Linked DNA regions of Saccharomyces cerevisiae S288C. Changing the gene in region 2 together with the main gene of any one other region gives a genetic interaction. Each region holds a gene or a part of one and is shown on either strand. Other genes may lie near its edges.

Region 1 (3,170 bases), on a different chromosome or scaffold from region 2:
TGATACCCAATATATGGGATTCTCTGCCAATGGCACAGAATTGATCCCCGTTTGGCAAAGAGATGAATGGTTGACTAACGTGGTAGACTATGCTGTATTGGACGTCTTCGATTCTAGGGATGTGGAGTTGAACAAAGATATGAAAGCGGAACTTGATTCAAATTCGCTTTGGAATGCTTACTGGCTTAGATTGACAACTAATTGGAATCGCCTTATCAACTTATTGAAAGAAAACCAATTCTCACCAGGACGTGTCTTCACTAAACTCCTAGCTCTAGACGCTAAGGATACCACGGTATCAGATTTGAAGTTCGGATTCGCCAAAATCTTAATTGTTTTGACGCATGATGGCTTTATCGGCGGCCTTGATATGGTCAATAAGGGCCAACTTATCTGGAAACTCGATTTAGAAATTGATCAGGGCGTCAAAATGTTCTGGACGGATAAAAACCATGACGAACTTGTTGTTTTTTCGCATGATGGGCATTATTTGACAATTGAAGTTACTAAAGATCAACCGATTATCAAATCAAGATCCCCCCTATCTGAAAGGAAAACTGTTGATTCCGTTATTAGGCTGAATGAACATGATCACCAGTATCTGATTAAGTTTGAGGATAAGGATCATTTACTGTTCAAATTGAATCCCGGCAAGAATACGGATGTACCAATAGTTGCCAACAACCATTCTAGTTCCCACATATTCGTCACAGAGCATGACACGAATGGCATTTATGGCTACATAATCGAAAACGATACGGTAAAACAAACTTGGAAAAAAGCCGTAAATTCGAAAGAGAAAATGGTGGCATATAGCAAGAGGGAAACAACAAACCTAAACACTCTTGGTATTACACTAGGTGACAAATCGGTTCTTTATAAATATTTGTACCCCAACCTAGCGGCTTATCTGATCGCTAATGAAGAACATCATACAATCACTTTTAACTTAATTGATACCATTACAGGAGAAATCCTCATTACCCAAGAGCACAAGGATTCTCCGGATTTTAGGTTTCCAATGGATATTGTTTTCGGTGAATATTGGGTCGTTTATTCCTATTTCAGTTCTGAACCTGTTCCAGAACAAAAGTTAGTAGTGGTGGAATTATATGAGTCACTAACCCCAGATGAGCGTTTGTCTAACTCAAGCGACAATTTTTCTTATGATCCATTGACTGGACACATTAACAAACCTCAATTTCAAACTAAACAATTCATTTTTCCCGAGATTATCAAAACAATGTCCATTTCCAAGACAACGGATGATATTACCACAAAGGCAATCGTTATGGAATTAGAAAATGGACAAATCACCTACATACCAAAGCTTTTATTGAATGCAAGAGGTAAACCAGCAGAAGAAATGGCCAAGGATAAGAAAAAAGAGTTTATGGCTACCCCATACACGCCAGTTATCCCAATTAATGATAATTTCATTATCACTCATTTCAGAAATCTATTGCCAGGATCCGATTCGCAGTTGATCTCCATCCCAACCAATCTGGAATCCACAAGCATTATATGTGATCTAGGCCTTGATGTATTTTGTACAAGGATCACACCTTCGGGCCAATTTGATTTAATGAGTCCTACTTTCGAAAAGGGTAAATTGCTTATTACTATATTCGTCTTGTTGGTGATCACGTATTTTATCCGTCCTTCTGTTTCAAACAAGAAGTTGAAATCCCAATGGCTAATTAAATAGATATTTACATACACATTATATATATCAGATACACATTTCAAGGCTCCTTATTTTGGCTTTCTTTTTTTTTTTTTTTTTTTTCCCTGGAAGACGTCATACTCGTGGTTATATAATCTCCTACTTCTTTGGAAAATGGACACTTAATCAATGACGGTTGATAGCAGTACGTGCACTAGCAGACTAATATGAAGAAGACGTTCGAGCAGTTTCGAAAAAGCAATTTACTATTTCAGGTTCTCAAAGGACCCCAGCATCTAGAATGTCAGAAGTTATTTGTCCTTGATTCTTCATTCAATCCACCACATCTGGCCCATTTTCAACTACTATCGCAGACTATTAAAAACTTCAAATTGAAGGACACCCGTTCGCATGTTTTATTACTGTTAGCGGTGAATAATGCAGATAAGTTGCCTAAGCCGGCATCTTTTCCAACTCGTCTGGAAATGATGTGCTTATTCGCTGACTACCTTCAGGAGAAGCTCCCCCAATCTGTAGTATCTGTCGGGTTGACTGTTTTCTCGAAATTCATCGACAAGGACAAAATATTACATGAGCAATTTGTTAAAGGATGCAGTGCAGATATAGGCTACTTAGTTGGTTTTGATACAATTGCTAGGATCTTTGATGAAAAATATTATCATCCTTTAAAAATCAGTGATGTAATGGAGAGCTTCATGTCGGGATCTCAATTATATTGCTTGGCGAGAGGCGATTGCCATCTCAGTGCTGAATCGCAACTAAGATACGCCAGTGACATCCTTGAGGGAAAATTCGAACCGGTAATACCAAGAGAATGGGGCGCTAGGATTCATGTTATGCAAAATGATTATCCAGCATTAAGAAATGTTTCATCATCCGAGATTAGGAACAAACTGAAGAATGGGCAAGTGGAGAGTTTGAAAGACGAGTTGCCATTGTGCATATACGATTATTTGATCAATAATAAGACAATATTTGATTGAAAGAGAAAGATAGAAATTCAAATGCCTTTCATGGAGATATATGTATATAGATAAAGATAATATTAGGAACAAAAAAAACTTTCTGTTATACTAGACTAGTAATCTTAAAACAATAACATAGCAACAAGGCATGTACCAAAAAGAAGGGGGTCCAATTGCATGCTTGGATTTGCTGAGTTCGCGTATTTTGAAATCACTCTTTTCTTGGAGTCTTCACCTTCTTGCGTTAAATCTTTGTACCCTTTTTCTATGATTGTACCATCCTGTTTAACATTCAGCGTATTTTCCTTCTTACCAGAAATACAAGTGAATTTCCCACCCCTGATGATTGATCTTCCATTTGATGGGTTTGTCCATTTATTGCAATCCAACACGTTTGATGAACTCTTAATAAAAGCGCTACCTTTCACCAGTTTCAAGCTATCGAACATGATATCTTTGAACGAACCTTCAAAGAAAATAGCACCTCCAATCTGCTTCAAGTTTGGCAGGAAAGTAAT
Region 2 (8,237 bases):
CTTTTCAATACCGTTTATATATGAAACTGTGGGCCATGAGGCAATAGATTTCCCGTATCCCTGTGAACTAGTGTTTAATGGCACCAAACTAGAGGACAACGTGAAAGGTTTAAAGAAACAAAATGGGACAGGTAATCCTGCAAATTTAACGCCTTATCTTAAAGTACCGACCGAGATGAATCACCTAGACTTACATTATCTCAATATTGATAAAGAGTACTCTATAAGTTGCTTTATAGTGGAAGTTTTTTCACCTGAAGCTCTTCTGGGGAAAATTCTGAAAAGGCCCAAAATTATCAAGCAAGCCACCACAGCATACATCAAAAGAACCTTGAATGAGCAAGATGATGACGATATTATTACAACCTCCACGGTGCTGAGTTTGCAATGTCCTATATCTTGTACAAGGATGAAGTATCCGGCGAAGACTGACCAATGTAAGCATATCCAATGTTTTGATGCTCTCTGGTTTCTTCACTCTCAGTCACAAGTCCCTACATGGCAGTGTCCGATTTGTCAACACCCTATAAAATTCGACCAGTTGAAGATTTCCGAATTTGTAGATAATATTATTCAAAATTGCAATGAAGATGTTGAGCAAGTTGAGATATCTGTTGATGGCTCATGGAAACCGATTCATAATAGTTCGGCCGTTATAACGGATACTGTTAACCAAAATCACAGTGTGAAAAACGAGAACCAAGGCACTGTCAAACAAGAGCAAGATTATGACAGCCGAAATGCCTTCGATACTAATTTGCGTAATGGTTCAAACCACAACGAACCCGAAATAATATCTCTGGATAGCTCAGATGATGAAGCCTTTATTCCGGCTAGTAAAAGCTTCCCAACGCACGTGAACCCCCGTAATGACCAATTAAGAGCAGATATATTTCCCTCAGAATCGGAAGGATCCAGTGACTACAACCCCAATCATACATCAACGCCGAAAGGTTCTCCAACTATGGACCAAGATAATTATCAAGATGCTTTTCAAATGAGGTCATTTTTGAACCAAGGCGCTACTACAAATATAAATGACACACCGACGAACAATAGCAGTATTAATTCTTTCGTTACGGCGACGAATGGTGACAGCAGAATATTCTACAATAGAGGGCCATCAACGCCACTATTACCGGCTGTTCTACAAAATTTGACTAATCAAACGGAAGCGCAGAGAAACCCCTACGGACCTAATTACAATACCACAGCTCAAGATCGTAATCTTTTGGGAATCGAAGGTGATTTGCCTCCAATCCCCCCTGTGGACCCAAATTCAGAAGCAGAAACTGAACTACCAACAAGGACCACATCGGCGGCACATCTCCCTCCATATATACACGTGAGCACCAGCGGCCATGGGGATGATGGAAAAATTAGGAAGAGAAGGCATTCTAATGTTTCTATCTACATTCCGAAGAATCCATACGCCACCCTTATGAAACGGAGACCACAGGCAAATCACGCCATAATGAATAAAACTCTGGCCCAAACTAATGACTTTAACACATCGGCTCAAGATAACTCGGAAGTGGTCGATTTAACATCAGATTGATTAACCGTCTTTTGATTTCTTTCCTTTCCGATTGTATTCTATTTTTATTTCTATTGTTTCATTTCGCTCTTAATATTGACTTCCACTTTTGGGCGTAAATGATGTTTTTGTTTTGATAAATATTACGACTTTTGTTATGTTTTTTTACTACTGTGGTTACTTCATGGGTGTAGTGTGCGAATCTGCAGTGATAGGTTTCTATAGATTTCTCTGTATACTTCCTGTATTACACTATAATATTTCATGTCCTTTCACTTCCCACGTTTAGCGGGACAGGCCGCCCTTAAATTAACAAAATTTAAAAGGTAAAGGAATGTACTAAGAAAAGAAAACTATTCAAAGAAAGTAACAAAAGATCGTGAGTTAACTTATAATAGCAATGTCCTCAAGATATAGAGTGGAATATCATTTGAAGAGCCACCGCAAGGATGAGTTTATAGATTGGGTAAAGGGGCTACTGGCCTCACCTTTTGTTCTACATGCCGTCTCTCATGAAGGTGACTACAATGACGACTTAGCAACAACTCAACGTGTAAGGTCGCAGTATGCTGATATCTTTAAAGACATTGAAGGGCTGATTAAAGATAAAATAGAATTTGACTCAAGAAACATGAGCCAAGACGAAATTGAAGATGGCGCCTCTTCTCAATCTCTGAATATATTAGGACAATCGCGTTTAAATCTTTTGGTTCCATCAATTGGAACATTCTTTACGGAACTTCCATTGGAACAAGCTTTTCTATGGGAAGACTCACAACGGGCCATTTCGGCGCGTAGAATGGTAGCACCCAGTTTTAATGATATCAGGCATATCCTGAATACTGCACAGATATTTCACTTTAAGAAACAGGAGAACTTACATAATGGTAAGGTTTTGAGATTAGTGACTTTTGATGGAGATGTGACGCTGTATGAAGATGGTGGCTCCCTGGTTTACACTAATCCTGTAATTCCTTATATTCTCAAGCTGTTGCGGTGCGGTATCAATGTGGGAATAGTCACTGCGGCCGGATATGATGAAGCTGGAACCTATGAGAACAGATTGAAAGGATTAATTGTTGCATTACATGATTCAACTGATATACCAGTTTCTCAAAAGCAGAATTTAACAATAATGGGTGGTGAGTCGAGTTACCTTTTCCGTTACTATGAAGACCCGGAGGAAGATAACTTTGGCTTTAGACAAATTGACAAAGAGGAATGGCTATTGCCTAGAATGAAGGCTTGGTCCCTCGAGGACGTGGAAAAGACTTTGGACTTTGCCGAGAGAACTCTTAACAGGTTAAGAAAAAGACTAAACCTACCTTCAGAGATTTCTATTATCCGTAAAGTCAGGGCAGTGGGTATCGTCCCAGGCGAACGGTACGATGAAGCTTCTAAAAGACAAGTTCCTGTTAAGCTTGATAGGGAACAACTGGAGGAAATAGTTTTAACCCTTCAAAACACTTTAGAGTCTTTTGCCCCATCTAGAAGAATTCAATTTAGTTGTTTTGATGGTGGTAGTGATGTCTGGTGTGATATTGGGGGGAAAGATCTTGGTGTTCGTTCATTGCAACAATTTTATAACCCTGAATCTCCTATCCAACCCTCTGAAACCTTACACGTAGGCGATCAGTTTGCACCGGTGGGATCAGCAAATGATTTTAAGGCAAGGCTAGCTGGATGTACCCTCTGGATAGCATCCCCTCAAGAAACAGTGAATTATCTTCATAGATTATTAGAAACTGATTAAAACAGTTTATGTAAAATGAAATTAGGACTATAAAAGTATATAGATATTTCCTATAGAAACACCTCATATATGGCGGTGGATTTTTTCATCTTGAATGAATTATGCTTAGAATTATGATTATGGGCCCTCTAGGATTCATCTGATTGCTTGTTGAACAATGTCTGCCTTTTCAATAGCGCCATTTTTGCTCTCTTCGAAATCTTCAAAGTAAAGCTCTCTCGTTATTAATAGATAGGATATCAACCCTACGAAGGCGAAAAATGACGCATAAACAATTCTTCTTTGAAAACTGACTTCTTTTTCCAATCTTTCCAAATGCAATAAATGACGGTTAGTAAATTTGTCATTCTCCAGTTTCTGTTCTTCTAATATACGTAAAGATTGATCTTTCAATTGATTGGCAAAGTTATTCAGCAGATCTAGATTACTCATCATTGTTTCGTTGAATATCGTGACAAGATGACTGAACTTTGCTTCGTGCGCCATTTCAAGTTGTTCAAACGATTTAGATAGCAGTTTGCTCTGTTCCTCAATGTAAGAAACTGTCAAACTAGAATTTGTCTCCAGTTGTGACAGCCTTTTCATGATGTTCTTAAAAATGGATTCTTCTGGAATTACAGGAACAGCCGAAGAAGAAGAAGAAGATATCATTTGCTTGGAAGGACAAAAGGATGCATTAAGCACCTTGAAAAATTCATCGAACTTCAAAGGGATGAGCTTTGAAGTACATGATAATGCACCAGCTAAGTCTGAGAGATTGCTTGTGTTTGGAGTCTCTAAACGCGTTTCTATATTGTTACATCTGTCTTGGATATTTTGTTCATTCAAATTGTTTATATTGTTAGTTCCTATGGATTGTTCTTTATCCTCTTGAGCCTTTAGTTGATCGATCTTAAACTCATCCATCATTGATTTACCATATACTTTGATTAAGGATATGGGACAATAAAATTCGTCCTCATAATGGGATAGAATTTCGATTTTCAAATAACTTGCCCAGATTTGGGGATTATGTATTTGAAACTTTTGTAGTTCTCTTGAATTTCTTGCCTCGAATTCTCCTAATATTGTCCATTCATTTTTAACCATCGGTATTCTATCAGAAACTGACACCCTAAATCTCTTGAAGGTCGAGGAAAAGAATTCGTAATTAGCAATTTCAATTTCCTCCACCAGGATATCTTCACAAAGCTCTATAACAATGAATTGCTGCGGAGCTGAACAGGGATTCAGTAAATACTTGTCTTTGCTCTCAATTAACGTAGAAGTCGCTCCAATCGCTTCTGGATTGCTTTTGACAATTGTTGCAGCGCAATCCAAGGATGCATAGTTGAATTTTTTTTTGTAAACTTTCTCTATGTCCTTTTCCTCATTGAATCCTTTTTGATTTTCTTCTCTTTCACTCCACTCGTTTTTGTTTGTCAAAAACCCCAAATCGATTTCCAACTCTTCTCCTATGCATTCTTTCTCTTTATAGCAAGAGGGATCGACTGGCTCCCTCACTCGACTAAGATGACGTTCAGGGCCTGATGAGTGCTCCTTCGACTTGACCTTCTTCCATTCGTCGAACGATAAAAATGAATTACTCGAATCGCCCGGATTCCTTGGTGTTGCAGGCTGTGTTAGTGCATCTTGCTCTTTCCTCTCACCGTTTTCCCGTATGTCAGCCTGCCGTATGTCAACTTTAGAGGCCTGTCTAAAATCATGGGTTCTTAAAGAACCGGTGGATAGTGGTGAGGAATGTTCTTTCTGCACGTTCGTTGTACTTCCAGTCGTGATCACAGTGGTATCATGTAGACCAATCTTCGCATTTTGAGCAGTTTTGTTCCTATCTAATGCAAAAGATCCGATTATACTTACCCACAAAATAAGGCCGTATATGAGAAGACGGTTCGCCATTCGGACAGATAATGATATAATATATCTTATATTTTAACTATATCCATTGCGTCCTTTCTTTTTAACCGTAAGGCACAGTTAAGAAATAATGTTTTCACACTAAATGCTGATGCCTATAAAAAAAAAGTACCGATGAGATAACCTAGGAATAAAATTCTCGGAATTCTTTCGGACATTGAACTTTGATTTATCAGAGCTGGTAAATTCAAGAAAATTGAAATGTAGAAAGCTCGCTGAATTAAGAAAAAAAAAATAAAAACTTATTATTACGCACCTATATGTAGTGATTATGTATGTTTATTAAAAAAGTCCATCTTGGTAAGTTTCTTTTCTTAACCAAATTCAAAATTCTATTATTTCTTGGAGAGTTTACCGTTCTTTTTAGGCACTCTTGCTAACCAGTAGAAAAAGACACCAGCGATATAATTGAATGCAATATAACAGATGAAGATACCATAATTTCTCCATCTCTCACTGTAGAAAGAATTGACATTAGCTAAGTAATCATTGGTTGTAGATATTTGACAGAAACTACAGGTGTCAGTGGCATTTTCATCAGTTAAGTAACCAGTCTTTGCTAGTTGTAAATATGGTTCCATGTACTGCCCACATGTCATACCGGATGGTGGTGTGAATTCTAGCAATTCGTAATCAGCGCATTTGACGTCTACGTTAGCAACACCAACAGCCAACAGAGCCTGAATGAAATAAGTCAAAGGTGAAACCCTGTACATGAATATCCAAAATCTAGGCATGGCACTTGGGGTAGTCATAACACCACAAAAAGACAAAGACATTGTAAACAACAAAGAGGCTAAGTTAGCTGCACTTTCTGCAACTTGGTTGAATGAAATGACAAGCAGACCCATAGAACCAACATAAACGTAGAAAGCACAAGAGAACAACCAAAATAAAGCACCCCTTTCATGCAACTGGCCAGCTGCAGACGCGTTGGAGTAAAATCCAATTGGATAATAGTAGATAAAATAAGCAATAGTACCTGCCAATATATTCCATGGAACTTCCACGAATATTTGAGCGAAGATAAATGAAATCCAAGAAAAAGTCCTTGAGGGGCGTTCCCTGGCCTCATACAAATCTCTTTGCTGGACAAAAGATGGTAGGTATTGTTGTAGAATAGGATTGAAAATAACCGTAAACATGAACACAGCCAACATTTGATTTTGTAAACCCTGTAGCGAGGTTCCTGCTTTGAAGAAAGTGAAACCGATGAACAATTGATTGAAAATAGTTAAAATAAACTTCGACCATAAATAATCTGGAGATCTCCAATATTGCTGGAATAGACGAATACTGACCAATTTTGTTTGATAAATAATTGATTGTGAAAATTCGTGTTTGTCCTCAGCTGCAGTTATCGAACCTTTCTTTGGTAATTCTCTTTCCATCCAATCTAATTCAGATTGAACGGCCCTGTACTCTTCAGAATTCCTCCAAACTTCGTAATAATCTTGATTTGCATGAGAGCCTGGAGCTGCACCAACAACTTCTAGCATCCATTCAGCTGGGTTGGCGTCAGCAGGGCATTTATGAGCACCATGGCTTTCAAAATAATCGATCATAGTTTTACAACCTTCGCCCAAGTCGCCAAAGTAGACAGTCTTACCACCACGTTGCATAAATAGTAAACGATCGAATTCTTGCATCAAAATAGCAGAGGGTTGGTGAATAGTACATAGAATTGCTTGACCATGATTTGCCAACTTTTTCATTAGCTGACAAATAGACCAAGCAGTTTGAGAATCCAAACCAGAAGTAGGTTCATCTAAAAAGACCAACAGTTTTGGTTTGGCAGTTAATTCAACACCAATGGTTAATCTTTTTCTTTGTTCAACGTTTAAACCTTCACCAGCAACACCAACAACAGCATCAGCATATTTTTCCATTTCAAGAATTTTAATAACTTCTTCAACATATCTGTTCTTTTCTTCAATGGAAACTTCAGCTGGTTGACGTAGGTAAGCAGAAAATCTCAATGACTCCCTCACAGTGGCAGTTTTCAAATGCAAATCTTGTTGCTGACAATAACCAATGGATCTTGGGAAAGATTTATCACGGGGAATACCATTGACCAAGATATCACCAGTTATAACACCCATGGTAACCCTTTCGGCCAAACAATCCAGAAGTGTGGTTTTACCAGCACCTGAAGCACCCATTAAAGCTGTTAAAGTACCTGGTTTAACCCAACCATCAACATTGTTCAAAATACGTCTTGTTTCGGCCTTAATCTGAACTTCGTAACAAAGGTTTCTCCAGTGAAATATAGCCTCTGACTTGGATAAACCAATTTCTCCGTAAGTATCGGATTCCTCTTCAGAGCTTTCTTGTAGCATTTTCCTATCGCTGGATAAGTCACTACGTTCCCCAACGTTTTCGGGGTCATTTGCATTCTTTTCAGTTAGTACACCTCTTTTCTTCATTCTTTTAACTATACTGCGTGGGAAAACTAATATTTCACCTTTTTGTTTAGCACCCTCGTTGTATTCACATAAGAATAGATAGACAAAGAAAAAGAAGACGACATAAGCCATACCAATACCGAAACCACGCCATTTGTCTTTGTGGTAGTATTGATAAGTTCCTCTAATGAAATCATCACCCAGAACATAGTCTTGGCCTGGAACAGCTCCAACCACGGTACAAACAGATTCTGTACTAGAAATGTTTGCATACGCAGGACCACGAGGAACATATTCAGCGCAGGGGAATTTTATACCATGAAACTCGTTAATTAACAAAGATTCGAATAAGTAAGCCAACGGATTGATATACCAAATCCATTTAGACCAACGTAGGATCTTCTTCTTAGGAATAGCAAAACCGGTATACATGGATAGAGCCAACAATAACATAGAAGCGGGAACCATAGCTTCTGACAATGTCTTTGTTAAGGAACCAACACATCTAAACAAGTGAGACATGGAGAAAACCGCGACAATGTTTATTAATAAGTAGAAAAAGAATACACCACCATTTCTTCTAAAGTCTACTAAGAAATAGAAGATTATATTGAAGCAAACAGCG
Region 3 (3,237 bases), on a different chromosome or scaffold from region 2:
TCCAAAATTTTTTGTCTAGATTTAGCTTGTTTCACCAAGTTAGCATAAGTACCAGCAGATGCAATGAATTTTTTAATATGTTGGATTTCCTCTTGTTGTTTATTGTATTGTTTCATTTGATTGGTTTCCAATTCGGATCTTGTCTTGTGATAAGAATCATAGTTACCACCGTAAGCAGTTAGTTTTTGAGCTCTCATGTCAATCATATTGGTACAAACACCGTTCAAGAAATCTTGAGAGTGGGACACCAAAACTAAAGTTCTGTCAAATCTCTTCAAATATTCTTCTAACCAAACACAAGCTTCCAAATCCAGATGCGCAGTAGGATCATCCAACAATAATAGAGTTGGCTTAACGAAAAGAGCTTTTGCCAACGCAACACGCATTTTCCATCCACCAGACATATCTTTGGTTTTCTTCAAAATGGTCTTCTTGTTGAAACCTAGACCGATCAAAATGATAGCAGCTCTAGATTCAAAGGTGTCTGGATCCAAAGAGTCCATTCTTTCATATAGAGGCTCTAATAACTCGGACTCAGGACCATCTTCCAAGATAGTCTTTTCGACTAAGTCTTCTATTCTTTTCAATTCGTGTTGAGCTTCAGTGACAACGTAGTCCAAGGCCGACAATTCACTTGGTTCCGCAGGTTCGTCCAATAAATAAATATCAATATGCTCAGGAATAGGATATTCTCTAGTAGCAAGAGCCTTTAAGAATGTTGACTTACCACAACCATTTTCTCCCAGAAGACCATATCTACGGCCGTAGTTTAATTCTAAACCAGAATCTTGGATCAAAACTTTACCGTGGAACAGTAAAGAAACAGAAGATAGCTTGATATCACGGGAAGTCTCCAATGAACTCAAAACACCAGTGACAACACGATCTGAAAGACCATCCTTATCTTGTTGCAACTTCATCATCTTGATTTCTCTAGCGGCTGCATCTACCTCCGATTCTTCAGCAGCAGCCTCCTTTTTTCTACCTAGCTTTCTGATGGTTTTACCGGCAGCGGCTTTCTTAGCCTCTCTTTCAGCTTTCTTAGCATCTCTCTTGGCCTTTGACGCAGATACTGGTGGCATATTTGGTTCTGTCAAGTTACTGTTTGTAGCACTGAGGGGAAGAAAACAATTTTTGCAAGAAAAAAGTTAAGAAAGAAGAAGAAAAACTACACGGGCACTAACATGTTAAATATGATAATATTTTTTTTTATAAGAGAATCACTACCAAGTTACCTGAACTACGTCAAGGAAAAGCCATTAATTGAGATGAGGTGAACGAAGAAAAAAAAAAAGAAAAAAATTTTTATTTTTTTTTCCATCGGTCTCCCCCCTCACCTTTCTTTTTTCATTCGTTTAAAGTGAGATTAGGGTAATGCATTTCGTATTTAGTGAGTAAACGTCAAAGGTGATATAGGGGGTTTTTCTTTTTCCAGAAAAAGAAAGAAAAAAGCCGGCGGTCGCCGCCGGAGATGGTTGAGAAAAAAAGGGGGCAGCAACGTGCTTCACATACAAACCAAGTTCTTGGATCTGTACGATCGTTTCTGCGGGTTTTTCCGTATTTGCCGCAATACTGAAATGGCTCATTATTAGGAGATGTGCATATAATGTATATACATACATTTAGCATATGTAATACATTCGTACATGTATAGAAATATATGTTTATATATATATATATATATATATGTATATACGAACTCGGTTTAACGCATAGTTGGTAAAAGATTTAATGTAGATAAAAAACACATAAGTTTTATACGCACGTAATCATGACTATCGCTAAAGATTACAGAACAATTTATAGAAACCAAATCAAAAAGCAGATACGACTAAATCAGGAGCATTTGCAAAGCTTGACACATCTAGGCTCACAAATCAATTTCGAGGTGGATCCTCCCAAATTACCGGATCCGGATCCTGCTCGAAAAGTATTTTTCTTTGATATCGATAACACTTTGTACAGAAAATCTACGAAGGTACAATTGCTCATGCAACAATCATTATCAAATTTCTTTAAATACGAATTGGGGTTTGACGACGATGAGGCAGAACGCCTAATCGAATCGTATTATCAAGAATATGGATTATCCGTGAAAGGTTTAATAAAGAATAAACAAATTGATGACGTCCTACAATATAATACATTCATCGATGATTCCTTACCTTTGCAAGACTATTTAAAGCCTGATTGGAAGTTAAGGGAGCTGCTGATCAATTTAAAGAAAAAGAAGCTCGGCAAATTTGACAAACTATGGCTGTTTACAAACTCGTACAAAAATCATGCCATCAGATGTGTTAAAATATTAGGTATTGCTGATCTATTTGACGGCATAACCTATTGCCACTACGACAGACCCATCGAGGAAGAATTCATTTGCAAGCCAGATCCAAAATTCTTCGAAACAGCTAAATTGCAAAGTGGGTTGTCGAGCTTTGCAAATGCCTGGTTTATTGATGACAACGAAAGCAATGTGCGGAGCGCGTTGAGCATGGGGATGGGCCATGTTATCCATTTGATAGAGGATTACCAATATGAGTCAGAAAATATTGTTACTAAGGACCACAAAAATAAGCAACAATTTTCCATATTGAAAGATATCCTTGAGATTCCATTGATAATGGACGTTGAAGTTTACCGTCCATCCTCTATTGCCATAAAGGAAATGGAAGAGTTGGAAGAGGAAGGGGAAGCAGTCAACTGGTCAAATCAACAGATCAATGTTCAGTCATCATGACTGTTACCTGATTTTAGAAAACAAATTTAATATTCCCTTCAGGATAGAAATTTCAACATCATTTGTCGTTTCATTAGAAATATCCAAAATACAATCTTTGAAATATTCTGTTACTTGACATTTGGGACCAAAAGGAATAAATTTCGAGCCATACATCGTTAAAATAAAATATAGTAGATTTTTATAGTTTTTACAATCAAAAAATTCGTTAAACTCTTTGATTATATTTTGCTGTATAGTTTCAGTCCGACCTTGCTTTTCACTAAAGCGTCTCCTGAGCAAGGCGCTTTGTAAATGAGGGAAGATTTGTAGTAGCCTATAATGTAAAAAAAAGTCGTTCTTGTCCACAATTTCGAAATATGAATTTATGAAATGTGCCTCATTAAATAATTCCAGGACCTTAAAACACAGTCTATGGTCCGATTCCATAGCGTTAAAAACCTTTCTATCCAAGATTAAACATATGAAGGCTTTCAGAAAGAATTCTCTAACATCATCAT

Evidence for each region.
Region 1: of ISN1 (region 2) and POF1, changing one suppresses a phenotype caused by changing the other (phenotypic suppression), as found in Saccharomyces cerevisiae (one study listed by BioGRID).
Region 3: of ISN1 (region 2) and PHM8, changing one enhances a phenotype caused by changing the other (phenotypic enhancement), as found in Saccharomyces cerevisiae (2 studies listed by BioGRID).

The regions. Positions count from the first base shown.
Region 1 is NC_001135.5:43,161-46,330, reverse strand, and holds POF1 (nicotinamide-nucleotide adenylyltransferase), read left to right. Parts: upstream 1-1,893; coding exon 1,894-2,670; downstream 2,671-3,170. Other genes in the region: EMC1 (Emc1p), read left to right, coding at 1-1,708; SPS22 (Sps22p), read right to left, coding at 2,775-3,170.
Region 2 is NC_001147.6:621,681-629,917, reverse strand, and holds ISN1 (IMP 5'-nucleotidase), read left to right. Parts: upstream 1-1,937; coding exon 1,938-3,290; downstream 3,291-8,237. Other genes in the region: SUMO ligase NFI1, read left to right, coding at 1-1,558; SLP1 (Slp1p), read right to left, coding at 3,426-5,189; ATP-binding cassette multidrug transporter PDR5, read right to left, coding at 5,543-8,237. UniProt on the Saccharomyces cerevisiae protein: IMP-specific 5'-nucleotidase involved in IMP (inosine 5'-phosphate) degradation.
Region 3 is NC_001137.3:224,118-227,354, forward strand, and holds PHM8 (bifunctional nucleotidase/lysophosphatidic acid phosphatase), read left to right. Parts: upstream 1-1,771; coding exon 1,772-2,737; downstream 2,738-3,237. Other genes in the region: ATP-binding cassette family ATPase ARB1, read right to left, coding at 1-1,082; Smc5-Smc6 complex subunit KRE29, read right to left, coding at 2,741-3,237. UniProt on the Saccharomyces cerevisiae protein: May be involved in phosphate metabolism.